4 linked regions of the Drosophila melanogaster genome follow. The protein of the gene in region 2 interacts with the protein of the main gene of each other region in a pairwise test. Each region holds a gene or a part of one and is shown on either strand. Other genes may lie near its edges. The genes, in order: Golgin84, CG6398, CG10510 and CG7970.

The links.
Region 1: the proteins of CG6398 (region 2) and Golgin84 interact in a two-hybrid assay, tested with the Drosophila melanogaster proteins (one large-scale study listed by BioGRID).
Region 3: the proteins of CG6398 (region 2) and CG10510 interact in a two-hybrid assay, tested with the Drosophila melanogaster proteins (one large-scale study listed by BioGRID).
Region 4: the proteins of CG6398 (region 2) and CG7970 interact in a two-hybrid assay, tested with the Drosophila melanogaster proteins (one large-scale study listed by BioGRID).

The regions. Positions count from the first base shown.
Region 1 is NT_033777.3:24,355,515-24,359,701, reverse strand, and holds Golgin84 (Golgin-84), read left to right. Parts: upstream 1-1,763; 5' UTR 1,764-1,825; coding exon 1,826-3,161; intron 3,162-3,216; coding exon 3,217-3,431; 3' UTR 3,432-3,632; downstream 3,633-4,187. Other genes in the region: CG18528 (uncharacterized protein), read left to right, coding at 143-448, 505-1,491; CG6454 (uncharacterized protein), read right to left, coding at 3,924-3,986, 4,049-4,187. UniProt on the Drosophila melanogaster protein: May be involved in maintaining Golgi structure and in intra-Golgi transport.
Region 2 is NC_004354.4:17,828,994-17,833,862, forward strand, and holds the start of CG6398 (uncharacterized protein), read left to right. Parts: upstream 1-1,834; 5' UTR 1,835-2,327; coding exon 2,328-2,453; intron 2,454-4,869.
Region 3 is NT_037436.4:21,207,644-21,211,979, reverse strand, and holds CG10510 (uncharacterized protein), read left to right. Parts: upstream 1-1,895; 5' UTR 1,896-1,985; coding exon 1,986-2,156; intron 2,157-2,306; coding exon 2,307-3,182; intron 3,183-3,237; coding exon 3,238-3,762; 3' UTR 3,763-3,832; downstream 3,833-4,336. Other genes in the region: CG10508 (uncharacterized protein), read right to left, coding at 1,176-1,249.
Region 4 is NT_037436.4:1,651,200-1,654,788, forward strand, and holds CG7970 (uncharacterized protein), read left to right. Parts: upstream 1-1,600; 5' UTR 1,601-1,676; coding exon 1,677-1,844; intron 1,845-1,931; exon of another isoform or gene 1,932-1,942; coding exon 1,943-2,055; intron 2,056-2,117; coding exon 2,118-2,376; intron 2,377-2,435; coding exon 2,436-2,663; 3' UTR 2,664-3,039; downstream 3,040-3,589. Other genes in the region: Vta1 (vesicle trafficking 1), read right to left, coding at 438-1,065, 1,133-1,283, 1,368-1,429, 1,491-1,600; Srrm234 (Serine-arginine repetitive matrix 2/3/4), read right to left, coding at 3,362-3,527.

The sequences.
Region 1 (4,187 bases), on a different chromosome or scaffold from region 2:
CTTACATATAATTGACTAAATAAATTGAATAATTTCGTGAACTGCTTAATTTGTTATAATTGGCAAGCTGCCAGGTTTTAAGACGAGAGACCTCTATGATAGTGAAACTTATAGTTCCCTTTATAAATACTTTTCCATATAGGCTCGTCAGGCGTATCTGAAATCCTTCTACCATCCCGCCAGCAAAGAGATGATTGACCGTGGGCTCTTACTTTGGTTTCCGGGACCGGCTTCTTTCACTGGCGAGGATTCCTGCGAGTTTCAGGTACACGGGTCCCTGGCAGTCATTGCGGCCATGTTGGATGCTCTGGGAAAAGTGGATGGATTGCGGCCGGCGGAGCCGGGAGAGTTCACAAAGAGAGCGTTCTTTGGTGGCAAACTGGATTTGACAGAGGTGGAGGGATTGGCCGATCTTATCCATGCTGAAACGGAGGCGCAAAGAAAGCAGGTAGACAGTGGACTTAGGGTCTCATAAATTTTGTTTCAAGTCTCTTCTTTCTCCAGGCACTGCTACAAAGCACTGGAGCACTGGCTCGACTCTACGACAACTGGCGCCGTCGACTTATTCGCTGTGCTGCCCATTTGGAGGCCTACATAGACTTCGCCGAAGAGGAGCAAATCGAAGGCGGCATCATCCTGCAACTCGGCAAAGAACTAAAGGCGGTAAAGCGTGAGATTCGCGAGCATTTGAGTGACCAGCGGCAGGGAGAGCTCCTCCGCGACGGAGTCCGCACTGTGATCATTGGAGCACCCAATGTTGGCAAGAGTAGTCTGCTCAATCTCCTCTGCCAGCGATCCGTGTCCATAGTGACGGATCAGGCGGGCACCACAAGGGATATTATAGAAACAATGCACAATTTCGGAGGATACCCGGTGGTATTTTCCGACACAGCCGGATTACGCCGATATACTACGGATAGTATAGAGCAGGAGGGAATGCAGAGAGCCAAGAATTGTCTAGTCCAATCTGATTTGATATTGCTCCTAGCAGAAGCCAAGAACATTGCACAGCTGACGCACGACGACGCAGTTGCTCCGTTTGTAGATAGCTATCTGGGCGAGTTGGATATACCTCTGGACATGTGCTCAGGGAAACGTCTGCAATTGGTGGCCAATAAAACCGACACTTTGACGGATGAGGAGCATCAGCAGCTGGACAAGCTGTCCAACGTGTTAGCCATATCATGCCATAAGCCCGATAAGATGCCCGTGTTTCTGGGATCACTGGAGAAGCAGCTGCAAGAACTGTGCGGAGAACCGCGGGCGGAGAATCCACGCATCACAAACACACGCTACCGTCAGCAACTGGAGCGCTGCATTGAGAACATTGATATTTTTCTACGAGATTACAGACCCGACGTTTACCCGGACATGGCCATAGCCGCCTCCAAGCTGCGCAACTCCGTGCGCTGCATCGAACGCATCACCGGACACATCAGCTGCGAAGATATACTCGACGTGGTCTTCAAGGACTTTTGCATTGGAAAGTGAAGAGATAGTTTATAGTTGTGAGTTGCGAAGATTACACTGCCCATGTTGAGTATTGAATAAAATATTCATTTGTACCCTAGAGTTTTGATAAGCATAATAAATTAACATTTCTGCACGGATAAGAAAGATTGGAATTACATTTATTTCTAAAACCAATCCTTACATTTTCATATAAATATTTTTTTGATCAGAAAAAAGGTTTTTCAAAATTACGTTACTTTTAGAGTGACCTTAACTTTGGAGTTGACCATTCCGCAGTCGATAGCGATATGGGCACACAGTGTGATATTGTTTACGTGTTTTACTCGAAGAGATTTGTTTTTCTTAGAAAAATATGTCATCCTGGATCACAGGACTGGCGGACAAGGCCGAAAACATTTTGAACAAGCTGGACCAAAATGCGGCAACGGCCCTGCAGACAGAGAACGCCACAGGTTCAGCGGATCCCATGCGTAGGAGCATGACGAGCAGCACCCAATCACTGTCCACATCCCTGAAGTCCACTCTGTCGCCAGTGCGGCGCTCGGGGGCCAATAGCTCATCAAGTGTAAAAAGCGATGGCGGGGTCTCCGTGGTCACTAAGGACATGCGCCAAAAGATGACCACGTCGGCCAGTTTCTCCAACAGTCCCGACATATCCGCCAACTCAATGGACACAAATGAATTGGCTGCCTTCAAGATCGCCCTGAATGAAATCACGGCCGAAAGAGATGAACTGCGTCTGCGCTTGGAAGATCTTAATAACGAAACCGAAAAGTTTGATCTGCATCAACACACCCAGGTGCTGGAAGCTCTGGTTAAAAGTCTGTCCGAAGAGCGGGACAAGGCGGTTCATGACTACAATGAGGCCCAGGCAGCTAACATGGCGTATGTGCACTCCATCTCCGAACTGGAAACCAATCTGGCCAAGTTGCAGCAGGAATACATAAGCGCCGCTCACAAATTGCAAATGCAAACAAAGGAAACGGAGCAGCAGCGCCAGGAGCTTCAGGAATACCGTATCAAGGCTCAGCGAGCTCTGCAAGCAAAGGATTCCCTCATCGCAGAGTTGAAGGCGAAGCCCACGGAGGAGGGCGCAGATCCAAACCTGGTGTCCAAGGACAGTGAAACGCGTTTTCTGCAAATTGAACACGAGTCACTTAAGCAAGAACTAGAGCATGCCAACGAGGAACTGCAAAAGGCGCGCTTGCAGCTGGACGATTACGTTTCCCAGGAAAGACAACGACAGGTGGAACTAAGCTCTGCCCGCCAACGCGAGGAAACACTAGCAAAGGAGTTGCGACAGGCAAGGGAACACAGTGTGACCTCCGAATCCGATCAGCGAGTGCTCACGCAGGAACTGGCCTCACTGCGGCAGCAACTTAGTAACCAAATGGCTGCTGCCGCCACTCGACTCCAGGAGCGGGAGCAGCAGCTTCAGCAGATGCGTCAGCGATTGAGCGAGGAAGCCAACACGGGAGCCAAGAGCGATTACGAGACTCGGCTAAAGGCTTTAACCCAATCACTGGTCGAACGTCAAAGTCTTCTGGAAAGAGTTACGAGTGAGAGAAATGCCCTGCGACTACAGCACGAAAAGGCACAGACGCAGCTACAGCAAAACATGCACTTGGTGGAAATGGAGAGCCAAAGGGGCAGCTCCCGCCATACTATGCTCAACAGCACAGATGATGGTAAGTCTAACATTCTGCGAGTACCAGAAATTACATAAATATGAGTTCTACCTAGTCAAAGCACAATTCCCGCTTCTCATGCATCCAAGTCCATTCGATAATCGTGTGGCACGACGCTTCAAGCGAGCCCTTCGCCAGGCGGACTCCATGGGTATTCGGGTGGGAACGTTTCTGCGTCGCTATCCCATGATGCGGGTCTCTGTGATCGTCTACGTGGCCCTACTACATCTGTGGGTCATGTTTGTGCTGCTCTCCACTACACCAAACTAATCGAATCAAATACATTTAGTTGAGCAATTGTTGTATTTCCATAATATTGTATGTATTGTATTTTACGCGCCAAAATTGGATATCTAGTGGTACGAGTATATGTGTCATGTTTGTGGTTGCAACAATTGTATATATCGATATTATACTTGTGTCTCGCACTCGTTCTAAATTCAATATTCAATAAACATCAACTATGTACAGAAATTGCAATTGATTTAACGCTAAAAACATCCAGCAAACAAGTAACAAGACCGAAAAAATTAGCACTACTAAGTTAGGATTAGAACGATTCCTCACAGTTCAAATATTGCATAAAGAATCCATCTACAGATGCTGTAAAATTGTTAAGTAAACGTGAATTAGTTTAACTTCAGTTTAACTCCAGTTGCTGGGCAGAGCTGATAGTTCTAGCTAAGCGGAAGAAAATAGAGAGTATACGCTTTTGGGACGATTCGCGTAAAACATGCGCTATATGCCCCGCAAGTTTTTATATCAGTCATCGGCATGGTAGCTCACATAGACAGCATCGCCTCCGATGCTAATCAGGCACTGGCCCTAAGAATACAAGATTTCAGTATAAAAACTTTAAGGTAAGTAGATCATTGTGTTTGCCTTACCTGATTCTTGTGCTGATTATCGAACAACATAAGTTCGGTGATGTAAAAAGAGACCATGGCATTTCCGCCCAGCGAAGCGATGTGTGCTCTCACCACAGCCAACAGTTCGGTAATGAAGCCATGGACAAATCCGCTGATG
Region 2 (4,869 bases):
GATTACAAACATTGCTTTATAAGTGCACGGCTATTCTTGTTGTTATTTAGGTAATTCTGGTATTTCCACACTCACACATACGACACTTACAATGCCCGTCAATATGGTAGTTTCCAATTTTGTTACATTTTGCCAGAGAATAACTAATTAACATGGTACATTTAAAGCGTACGTCTTTAAAATTTGGGAATTTCATGGTCTAGAACTAATATAATCAATGTGTATCACGTTAAAGATGAAAAATAGGACAAAATAATAGCAAAGCGTATCCAATTTATACATTTAAAAATGAATCAAACAGCACCTCTTTAGGGTATTAAATTCTTTCAGTTTTTAGGCGATTTTCTATATGCATATTTCTTAATTTCTTAAACGCTGCTATCTCTCTGCCCGCCACTGTGCTTTTGCTGCTGCAGTCGAGAGCGCGCCCAAAAATGCAATTGAGAAAAACCCACGCCATAAACAGAAACCCAAAATAGACAAAGGCATTAAAGCCGATGAAAATCAACAACAACAACAGCAAGTAGACGCAGCGAGATGCCAATGCCGCACAAACACAAACACCTATCTCTATATGGATATGTCCGTACACGAGATGTCTGTGTGTATATATTTTTTACCTGCGCAGTCGCAGCATCTTTGGGTCAATTGCACACTGCGAGAAATCGGCTGCGCCCTGATTAGCAGCGGGCGGTGGAAAAGGCCGAACTAATCGCACTCATGTGGGCGGAATTTCAGATTAGGCATTTGAATATACAAAAAATTCTCGCCCCAGAAGTTAATGACTCTCTATCAGCTGGACGCATTGTTCTTACAAGTCGATTTTCAAATGAACCATTTTAGATATAGGCAAATTCATGCATGTTTATTCAGGCTCAAAAACAAAACCGTTTAAATGGGTGTGCAGGCAATGATATTGACGTGTCAAATAATGATATTCACATTCCGCAGAAACTCCAATTATGATCCTTCAGTGTAATGGGTATTTGTTTTTAGGAGCCTGATTCCAATATCTTGCTAATAAAATATGTGGCTCAGTTTTGACAGAGTTACGATCTGGCGTGGCATAACTGCGATACGGTCGAGATATGGGAGCACCAGCACACCCCTTCGAACGCCCCCTTCGAGTTCCAGCCCACCGCCTACGCCCATGTGGCTGTGTGCCTCGCGTCCTACCTTCCTGCCCAGTGGGACTGGGACTCCATTGCACAGGCAGCACCGCATACCAAATACCAAACAAACATACGAAAAGATCAACAGGCTGCTGCTTTGTTGTTGTTTGCCTTTCGTATACCCTAACAAAAGGTTACTAGCTCTTATATATCTAACGTTATTTCTGCAAATCTCAACTGGGCATATGTGTTTACGGGATATCATGATTTGCCTTGTCTATCATCGCGTTTTGTTATCTGGATTATCCAGTGTTGGGTTTTGTAGATGCGTTAACATAAAGTCACAATTAACACAAATCTTACGTTATCGAATATGAAAATCTGAAACTTCGTACATAAATGTATAATGAGCTTATGAAAGATCATATCAAGTTCGCCTCAAATTGGCAGAGATATAAGCATTCTGTGAGGGTATTCCATGGTTCGTTTGCCGAAACAGTCTCTCCTTTCTTGTTTTTGCTTTATCCAGCAGGTAGAAGAGGCACCGTCTCCTTGCCTCCTGCTCCTAACTCTCCTCCCCCCTCAGTCCGGTTGCATTGCAAAGCGCTCAAATGAAACGCCGACTGAGACGCCGACTGCGACTTGAGACTATGGGTATGGGTATGGGTATGGTATATGGGTATTTGGTATTACCTGAAGTCTGGCTCAGTCGCCGACGATTTTCAGTCCGCTGGCGAACGTTGTTGCGATCACAACGTCTTGGCTATCAGTTCTCCGTCTCTTTGCTGCCCAGATTCAGATTCTCAGTTCTCCGTTCTCAATTCTCCAGCTCAGATTCTTCGCCGGCGTGCGTGTGTGTGTGTGTAGTGTTGTGAGCGTGTGCAGTGGAGCCCGTGTCAGTGTGTTAGTGCTGGCCCGTTGCTAAAATTATTATTTTTTTTAACGAACGTTGGCTTTTTTTTTGCTGTGCCTTCCAAACTGGTTGCTGCTCTTTTAACTGTGTATTTGTGCAGCAGCAGTAGCAGTTCAAGAAGAAGCGGCAGAATCTAGCTGCGGAAGAAGAAGACGTCGAAGACGCTAGAGATCACGAAACGAAAGAAAAATAATAGCAACTGTAGTTGTTGTTTTCTTCTCGGGGATTTTCGTTGGATAAATCCCGTATCATAGCCCCAAAATAGCTGAGATTTCGAAACAGATCCGGAATAAAACACCAGCATGCCCTGCTCGGCCGTAACCCTATCTATAGCGACGATCTGCGCGATCATCGCCACCGCCCTGCTGGCGATCGCCTTCTCCACGGATAATTGGCTGCACTACGATGTCTGGCGCAACCAGATACAGGTGAGTCTTCAATCTGCAGTCTACAGTGTCTTTAGTCTTCAGTGCCAGAGAAGGTGGGGGCTACGAATCGAATTAACCCAAGGCCCATCCGCTTGGAATACATAATCAGCTAAGGCCAGAGCCAGCGCCACCGAAATATACGGTGCATCTGCGACTGCGTGGCAGAAGCCACAGCCAGAGACAGAGTTACAACCAAAGCCGAAGACTCTCCCGCTTAAGACGGAGCTTTAGCTCCGCTTACGAGCTCTGCACATTGGTCCCAGAGATGTGGCTAAAGTAGATCCAGGCTGGGATTAGGCAATAGCTTAAGAAATCGGAAAAGATCGGGTTCAAAGTCGTGCAAGACAACGATATAATGGTACGATACAATGGAAATATTTAAAATGGGTAGGGAAATTGAAAATATCCTAATTTAGGCCCTACTTATACAATAGATATTAGTTGTTGAAAATAACTTGCTAGAGTTTAGGACTTCGTCTTCTGGAAAGTATAGCAGAGTACTATATTATATTATTAAATATATTTTGAAAATAAGTGGCTTCATTTCACAAATGCCATTGGAAGCATAGTAAATAAATACGATAAGGATTAAAGTTTTCATACTTAATTAATATTAAAACCGGAACGAATATCTCCATAATTTCCAAGGAATTAAGCCCGTTCGACTATGTCCAGAGAATAATGTGTATTATATTTTACTAATAATAGTAGGAGACATTTAGTTCTACAAACATCTTTGCATATCTTTTAAAATCCGTCCTCTTCCGAGAATCTTATCTATAGCGATGCTTAGATAAACAAGATATGTAATTAAGATGCACTTGCTGACATTTGTGCACTGCATACAGGTGTGCGCGGCCCACTGTGCGGAGTAGGAGGGCGAGAAAAAAGAAGCAGGAGGAGGAGTAGGTGAAAAGGGAGGAGAGGAGCGGAGAGGCAACCACGAAGGCAACAGCAACAAACGGAGGTAACAGTAACAGTCGCTCGTTTTGTGCTTGGCCGAAAGAAAAAGAAAAAGGGCAAGGCGGAGAAGAAGAAAGGTCGAAAGCAAATACACGAACAACTGGCATTGGAAGGAGGTGGGTAGGGAAGAAGGGAGGGAGTGGTGCGGTGTTGATCGAGAGGGGCCTGTGGAGGATGGGCAACGGCCGTTAACGTTCAAACTTTCTACGCGAGCGCTTAGCCAAGCGAAAAAACGAAGAAGAGCCCAGGCAGAAGAGGCCGCAGAAAAAGAAGAAAGGGGCGGTGAAGTGGAAGGAGTACACAATTTTACAGTTTGCATTGCAAATACAGTCAAACTGCGGATTACAACACTTCCCATTCTTCCAAGTAATCTAATTTTCAATTTTATGTTGGTTACTTCACTATTTATGAAATACAACTAGCTAACTGAAATCTCAGTTATAATCCGCCTCTTAAAGGGCCGAAAGCAATCGCAGCATATGTGTGTTTTAATTTCTTTCAAATAAGCAGCAGTTTGTCTTAATGAAGTGGCACTGTAGAAAATCCAACTCCGTCTTGTAGGTGCAGCCGAGAGAATTTTAGATGCGGAGAGCTCTATAGAAATAGGTGTAAAATCGCGGCGGTGTGCGTGCGCATACCAATCATACCAAAACAAGTTAGCTAAACAAAAAAAAAAACAATAAAAAACAAAGCTGAAGAAGAGGAAGAAAAGCACTCAAAGTGTGCTGAAAATATTTGCACGTTTTTCGACTTTGTCGCCTAATCCGAAAGTTTCAATGGAATCGAGGGAACGATAATTGCGGTGAGATTCGTTCGAATCTCGCCCAGCGTCGAAGTCTTCAGAGCCTGGGCACTTATAAAGCCATTAGAAGCAATCGTCTGCCTTGACCTCCCCCATTTTGGGTCATCGCTCCCTTCTCCCCATCCACGTTTCTTGTTCCTCCTCCTCCTCCACCTCCATCTCCTCCATCTCCATATCTCCGTTCTCCTTCGATTTCCGCCCCTGTAAGAGCCTTTGAAGAACCGCTCAGGTGCAGCAGGTAACTCGAGATGGGCTACTTGGCCACAGGAAACCCTAGGGTCCTATGAAGTGCATCCCCAGGGGAGTGGAGAACTAAATACCCACAGCGATTATGAGCGCTACTCAAAGAATGGGAATCCGGGGGAGTCAGTCGAGGGAATCATGATGATGGTGTCAGAATATCATCACTTCCAACCTTTCTTTAGCTAATTACAGATGTTTTCTTCGAAAGAAGTCAAATGGAAACTATTATGGTGGAAAAGGAAGCTCTGTGTTGTTACTTTCCTTTAAATACCCCTATATCTTATATTATCTTTAATTGTATGTCTTGTTGGTATATGTACATTAGATTGCATACTGTTTAGAGTTTAATTCTTCCTTTTCTTAGCCTGCAGGCTGCCCTTTTCCTTGAATTTTCCAGATCTTCGCCCT
Region 3 (4,336 bases), on a different chromosome or scaffold from region 2:
CCACCCAGGGCCATTCGAAAGCTCTTGGATTCAGGCCAAGGGTGGAGGCACATCCTAAAGCCGGCCGGTTGGTGGTGGACTGGATTGGAGTGGATTGGTTTGGGATTCTCCCCACATGTTGATGGTCCCTTGGGAGGACGGACAGGTAAAGGGTGAAGGAACCGCCTAAACCAAGGCACGTGCCAAGTAGCTGCCAAAAGGCGGACGCACAGTCGTCATTTTCATCGTCGTTTGACAGGCCATCTCTGCTCTGATTTTCGGAATGGAGAGGGTGGATGTCGACGAGGACGTCGTGAGGATGGAAAGCTCGTCTTCGGTTGAGTGGCCTCTTGAATTAACGTATGACAACGTATGTTGCTTAATTGCACATGGCTTTTTAAGCATAAGGGGTTAAGTTATATGTATATATGTATGATAGGCTAAGGAGATGTTAAAGACCCCGCTGGCATCCGACGACGCGGAAGTGACACAATTTATGCCGCTGAAACGAGGCCAATTGGAGTGGCTAAGGAGCACTAAGCTAAGTAGCCCATAGGGAACCACATGGTACCCACACGCTGGGTCTTTAGAGTTCAGTAAAATTGTTTTGCGTATCAGTAATAATAATTTAAATTTAAATTAAAACATTTTCTTCAAACATAAAACATTTTGAAAATTTTATGTTAGAAAGTTCTTTCGATTATAAGCTGAAGAAAAGTTAGCCAATATCCAATCCAAGCTTGTACTTCGTTCCATTGTGTGTTAAATGAATAATTTAAATTAGTACCGAGCTTGCGTCCTAAGAGTTTAAATACCAAAGGTGTTTCAAAACTAAGTTCTGCAAGCCACCGAACTAACGAATAATTTCCTTATCACTATAAGGCCAAACATGGCAAACACCACCTCAACCGGACGCCTACCACCCAATCATTTTAAAGTAAGCGACTTACGCCCCCAAGGCCCCCTACATACACCCACAACCACACACCCAACCATAATCCTTCGCCCACCGAAAGAGCCACCCCAAGCGACGTTGGCACGCAAATTTATCAGTTGCCCCCGTGGCAACCTATCAAATGGAACCCCTATATCCCACAACTGGCCACCACATCTCCCAGTACAGTCCGCATTTCACGACATTGTGGTTAATGGATGCATAAATATTTATGACGTCGGGCTGTGCACATGCAACTCACCAATTTCCAGTTGCTTGATCGTATTTGCAGTCCCAGCCGGGCGGCATTTTCTGATAGCCACCGGATTCGCTCATTTTCACCGCTCACGAATAGATACAGATGCAGATACAGTAACAATTGCACTTGCAGATGCGAGGCGCTTCGATGCCCAGTTAAACCGAACGACCGTCGTTTTATTATTTTCGTTTTCTGCCTGAATGTTTATGGACGTTTAAAGTCGCATTCGCAGCTTGTTTGCCGACTGTCTGCAACCCCGAAAAGTTGGCAGGCAGGAGTGCCCTTGCCACTTATCCTGCGCGGAGCTTTGTAGTTGCCTTTGTCGTCGGATGTTTCAGATTTGGGGGTTGTAACCACCCTCGATGGCAACCTCTCCTCGGCAGCAGAGTTATTTTTGTTTACAAGGCACTGCCTGCCGGGAAAAAGGACCGCAACACACAGATACACACGCTCACACACACACAGTTCGATGTGGCGTGCCGTTAGTAAGCAAGCCAGCCAGGCTTTAGCTACCCGGAAAGGAATCGTTTTTGGGGAATCCTGGAGTCGCGACGCTATAAACAACCTCGCGAGCCAAGCTTTGAGAGTCAACTGAGGAAATCAGTGGCGGGCGTTAAAGCTTCAGATGCTGTGCGAATAGTCGTTAAAAAAGCTGGTATCCAGTGTTGGAATTTGCCCGTCGAAAGCTGTGCGCCAAACTTCGATTCAGCTTTCAAACAGGCACACAATTCGAATTTAGCTCCCCCGTCAATTTTCCAAAAATTTCACCTTTGATTTACGCATTTAGTTCAGCTACAACTACACATCGGCAAAATGGCCGAAATCTTGGCACGCTTGACGCGTGTTTCGGAAAACTACCTCCAAGAACTGGAGGAGGAGCCGGAGCCACAAGGACCGCCCAAACTAACCAAGGCTCAGAAGAAGGCCGCCAAGAAAGAGGCCAAGCGACTGGCTATGATCGAGGAGAAGCGGCTCATCATGCGGGTGGGTTCAACTAACTTTCGCAGAGTTTTTATTAAGGATGAACCTAAGCAAATCCTTAATATTATTAATTTTTATAATAAAAATAATATATTAAGACTATATTAAAATTGTAAACGCATCATTTCTAATGTTGCGCCATGATCCTCTCAGGATGCCCTGATGCGCGAGCTGGAGATGGGCAAGCATATGGAGGAGAAAGGCAACGAGGAGTGGCACGAGATGTGCCGCGAAATCAAGATCAAGGAGCTAAACGAGGAGATGAGGGCTTGGGGCGAGCGCTCGGAACGTAACATTCAGGCCAAGAACGACCACATCAAGATGCTTCTGGACGACATGGCGCAGACGCAGGATCAGCACGTGCGTTGCTACAGCAAAACGGTGGAGCTGATTGATCACATTCGCGACTGCTTCCACGTGATGTTGGGCGGGGTGAAGAGCATGTATGACCAGCAGGCTGACGAGATGCTGAGGGATTACTATGAAGAGGTGCGCCGGCGCACCGAAGAGGTGGAAGCCATGAAAACGAACTCCGAGAACATAATCCATGCCACCAACATCACCACCCGGGATCAGCTGAAGGAGGATTACACTATCTACCTGGAGCAGCGCGACGATCGCGTGAATACGGAGATTGAGAACAGATTTAAGATTCGAGATCAGATTGTCCGCCGGATGACGCACATGCAGCAGCAACTGAACGACTTCGTGGAGTCGCTGAGGAGCACCGAACTGGATGCCCACAAGTACGAGAAGATCCACTGGCTGACGGAGCGGCAGGCGGCTTTCATGGAGGAGTCACGCAAGCTAAACGCCGAGGAGTCCAAGTACATCAACATGCAGGCGGAACTGCAGCGCGAAATGGTTCGCATGGATGCGGAGAACAACTCCACGCTCAACGATCTTCGCCTGGAGTTCCAGTACTTCACCAACGTGCGCAAGAAGATTGAGCTCAACCAGGAGATGGATCGCGAGATCACGCACGAGAAGTTGCGCATCCTGACCGGCGAGTGCTACGAGTTGACCAAGGTGAACCTTTGTCCCAAGCCCTATTACCCATTTCTAAATTGAAATATTATTCCAGCAAATGGAGAAGCACGTGAAAAGTGGGGAATTACTCTTGGCCCTGTCGATCACTTGCAGGAAACTGCAAACCGAATCGGAAAAGGTAATCCTCGGCGGCGAGGTATTCGACGAAACCGAGGTGGATGTCGATGAATACTTCAAGCTGCAGACTCTCAACCTGAAAGATCACGTGGACATGACCGAGGAGGAACTCGTGGAGCTAAACAAAAGTCTCAGGAACTTCTGGCGCCGCCAGGCGATGGCCGAAGCTCAAAACCTGCTGATGCTGGAGGAGAAGCGTCGCCTCACTGAGGACAATCAGCGCCTGATCGACTTTATCAAATCCATGAGTGTCACCGAGGATCCGGAAGAGCTGCGAACCGCCATGCATGTTTCATCGCCAACTCAACCCATGCCACCCAAACTTTTCGAGACAAAGTGCCAGGAATTCAAGTCCAGAAAGGTCGTGCATTCACCGACGGCACACAAGGAGGCCAAGTGGGAGGCCGAAGCCACTTTGAATGAGGTGATTCTGGACTTTTGAAAATATGTGGCATTCAAAGTTATGTTTAAATATAAAAATGAGCTCAATTAAATTGAATAATAGTTAAATTAATATATTTACCTTGTTTGCAATCGCAAGAAAAAATGCTATAAAGACAAATATTTGATTATCGAAGAGTATATTGTTTATTTTAATAGTTTTGAAATTGCTGAACACAGCATGGGTATCTCAAAGTGCCAAAATCAATATATTTTAAAACAGATAGTTTTTGTTTTAAACAGAAATTTAGCTGTACTTCTACTTATGTATATTATTTTGCAAACTGCAAGTCTTTACTCTACTAAATATTGCTAATTCCCTAAAAGAATGCCGAAGCTCATGTTTTTAGTTAATAAGAAAGCTTGCGTAGTTAAAAACTAAATAATAGGAGCAACGACAGACTCTTAGGAGACTAGAAATATGTTTTAAGTGCAACATGGAGATATGTAACTAGCTTTAGTTCAGCACCAGTGCAATCTAATCTAACTGTTGCAAATATCAATATTTCTCTCAGTGTAAAGTGTTACTGTAGTGCTTTGGTCCATCAAAATGCAGAGGCGTCTTCAACATATGG
Region 4 (3,589 bases), on a different chromosome or scaffold from region 2:
AGTTGGGCTCGAGATGGCGCGCCCTGTCTGCGGGTCTCAAATTCATTCACATCATTCTAGCAAATCGAAATTCATGTTTTCACTTTGGTGCCAAATTATTATCGTATACAGAACTACTATATTGTATGCAATGGCGAGAGATATTAACTAAACTGTAGACGCGACCAGATCAAACCAGAATGTAATCAAATCCTCTTCGTAACGGGCACTTAGTCGGAACCATTTAAATTACGACTTTAGAAACAATTTTAATAAATTTGAACAACTCATACATATTTAAAATTAATAATCCAACGTCAGTCAATCTGAATTTCGTTTTACTTTCGTCCTCAAACGAGCGATTAGCAGGAGATTATGCGGCATTATACTGGTGCTCTAAGCTATAACTGTGCCAAGGAAGCGATTCCTAAATACGTGTGAATGTGGATGTGTACGCCCTACTCGGACCCGGTGCTCAGCAGCTTCAGGGCCTTCTGCAGGTTCTCGATGGCTGTCTTGACGTCGTCGTAGTTGAGGGCACTGCCGGCGTACTTGCAATACTTCTGGGCGGTAATCATTTGGTCGGGAGTGATTTGCACCCCGGCCACGGGCACAATGGGCTGGTAAATGGTGGCCGCCGTGGCCGGATTAGGCTGAGCTGTGGGCACGTAGGGCACAAAGCCGCCCGGCTTCTCCTCGTCCACCGGTGGACTGGGCAATTTGTTCGGGTTGTTCAGCACCTCCTCGGCGGTGGGAGGGACCACTCCGGAAGTTGTCGGTGATGATGGAGCTGGTGGCTGTGAGTCAGGCTCCGGCTGGTAGGGCGCTGGAGCAGCTGCTCCCGCGGCGTCCTCCGGCGATGTGTCTGCCGAGGCGTTGGCATTCTCCCCCTCGAGCTCCGCCTCATCGTCGTCGTCTGGCAAGGGGCCGGGAATCGGTGTCTCACCGTTCTTCAGGCAATTGTGGATGTAGGCGGCCTTCCACTTGGCGTACTTCCTGTTGTGCAGCGCCTCTTCGCTCAGTTCACCGAAGGTCTGGAGAATGTCGTAGAGCACACCACTGGAGTAGAAGGCCTTAACGACGTTTCTGCGAAGAAGCACAATCTTATGAATCAGGAAAATCGATTCAGGGTATTTCTACGAAGGGAACGCACTTTCCGAAGTTCTCCTCGCGATCCTGTTTGTCGGCGTACAGGAATAGTTTCAAGGCGTAGTTCTCGATGTGTGCCTGGGCAGCCACCTCGTTGGTGATGGCCTCGTTCTCAGCATACTGTTTCTTCATCTGCTCCAGCCAGTCCATGATGCCTGGCGGTCGTAGGGAAAACCAAAACAAAACAAACCACGGATGAGTCATAGGCTGGTAATATGCGTATCGGATTTTTCACTCACCCAGCAGCAGTTTGGTTTCTTCACCCGTTTGGGTGGAGGCTTTGAGGCCCACCTGGAGAGCACTGGATTCGGAAGATGAGTAAATACGGGCAAAACAAGAAAAACTAATCTGTAGATACTCACTAGAGTCTCGCCCAGTAGGCGATGACCACATCCCGGGTATCATGTTCCTGGGCCAGCTTCAGAAAGTGTTGGATGGACTTCAGCGAGGGAGGACAAGGCGGAAACTCCATCGTGGTGGAAAGAGGGCTTAATCTTTAGTTCTATGCTTAATTACGGATCTGGAAAATTATGCCGACAACAATGGAAATGACGAGCACGCAGAGTGACCAGATATCGCAGTTTCTCGAATGCCATGGAACCACCCCAGTTCCAAACTCTGGAACTAGCGAAATACTAAAGTTTGTACCTTCGGCTAAAGTTGTTGGTTCGGCGCTCAGTTGCGAATCTGCGACCAAAACGTTTGGAGTTTCTCAGGTAAGCACTGGACTCTGGGAACTGGTTTTCGCTGTTATCAGTGCGACCAGTTGCACTTTGCACTTTGACCTGCATCCTTCACACCAGTCACATTCCAGGCACATCTCTGCACCACCGGCAACATGGTTCTCTCCAAGCCCCTGTACTCGCTCTTCGGCACTTATCTGGAGCAGCTCTTCAACCACCCGGTCCGCACCAAATCCATTACGGCGTAAGTACACTATTCGCCTTATCATCCGGTTCGCCTCACCCACCGGCTGCTCCTTACTGCAGATGCGTTCTGGCCACCTCGGCTAATGTCACCTCCCAGCGTTTGGCGGGCGCCAAGACCCTCAACCAGCAGAGCGTATTCGCCTACGGACTCTTTGGACTGATCTTCGGCGGTAGTGTGCCGCACTACTTCTACACGACGGTGGAGCGACTCTTCAGCCAGGATGTGCGCTTCCGAAGATTCTTCCTGTTCCTGTCCGAGCGACTGGTCTATGCTCCGATTTACCAGGCACTGTCCCTGTTCTTCTTGGCCCTGTTCGAGGTGAGAATCCATAATCCGCAATCTCAGTTCCTAGAACTATAATTTGTAATCCCTTACAGGGCAAGTCTCCCAGCACTGCATTGAAGAATGTTGAGAAGCTCTACTGGCCTCTGCTGAAGGCCAACTGGCAGTACCTGTCCGTGTTCGTGTACCTCAACTTCGCCTACGTGCCCCCGATGTTCCGGTCCATCAGCATGGCCATCATCTCCTTCATCTGGGTGGTGTACATCGCCCAGAAGCGTCGCCGCTTCCAGGACAAGCTGGCCGCCAAAGAGGCAGCCAAATAGGCTATACGACCCTTAAACCCTGTGGTAGTCGTCTTGGCCTAATATTCCAATTACTGCTTAGATTACGGCTGAACTGCTTCAAGTTCTTTATCTTCCCGCGTTCCGGCGGATTGCAAAAAGTCCGTGTGTATTTGAACACTTTAGATAAGCTAAAACTAACTGGAGGGGCGCCTTATCAACCGACTGTTGTTATACCTTAAACCCTAAATTTTGTAAACTTTTCTTACCAAAATAAACTAATATACAATGTATAAGATATCTAGATATCCATGGCCAAATTTGGCCAACAGAAATGCTTAACAAGTAGCGACAATCGTCGATCTAACATCCCATTTCCATTGCGCACAATGGATCCCAATTTGAGAAATTCCAAGGCAACCTTTTGAGATGCAACAAATAATGTCTGTTTTTTTTTTATTAAAACGCAGCTTAGAACTAGCAAATAATCGAGCAAAGGCTTACAAACGAGAATTATTGGCTTTTTATCGGCGCTACAATATAATTTCGCTAGTAAATTCATGGGCAGATGACTAACTTAGGGCTACGGAATGCAGTGTAAAACAAGTTAAATGCGCATAACAACTATCTTAAAACTAGGATTCTGACTAGAGGAGGTGACTACGATGATGGTGATGATTGTGGGGGGCACCTGTGCCTCAAGACTCGCCGCACATCCTGCGCAGCGACGCGGTTAACACTCAGAAGGCGGCCATCGACGGACTCCGGCTGTTGCGCAGGGGCGTGAGAAGGGGCGTGGCAGGACTGCTGGCGCGGCTAAAGCAACTGGAGCAGCAACTAGAGGCATCCTCCACCTCGCCCTCGGCGTTCGCCTTGTGGTGATAGGGAATCGGTCGCTTGCGAGCGCTGAAAGCATAATGAATAGATTAGTATGGGATTCGTGTAGCAAGCTTAAAAACCAAAGGGCA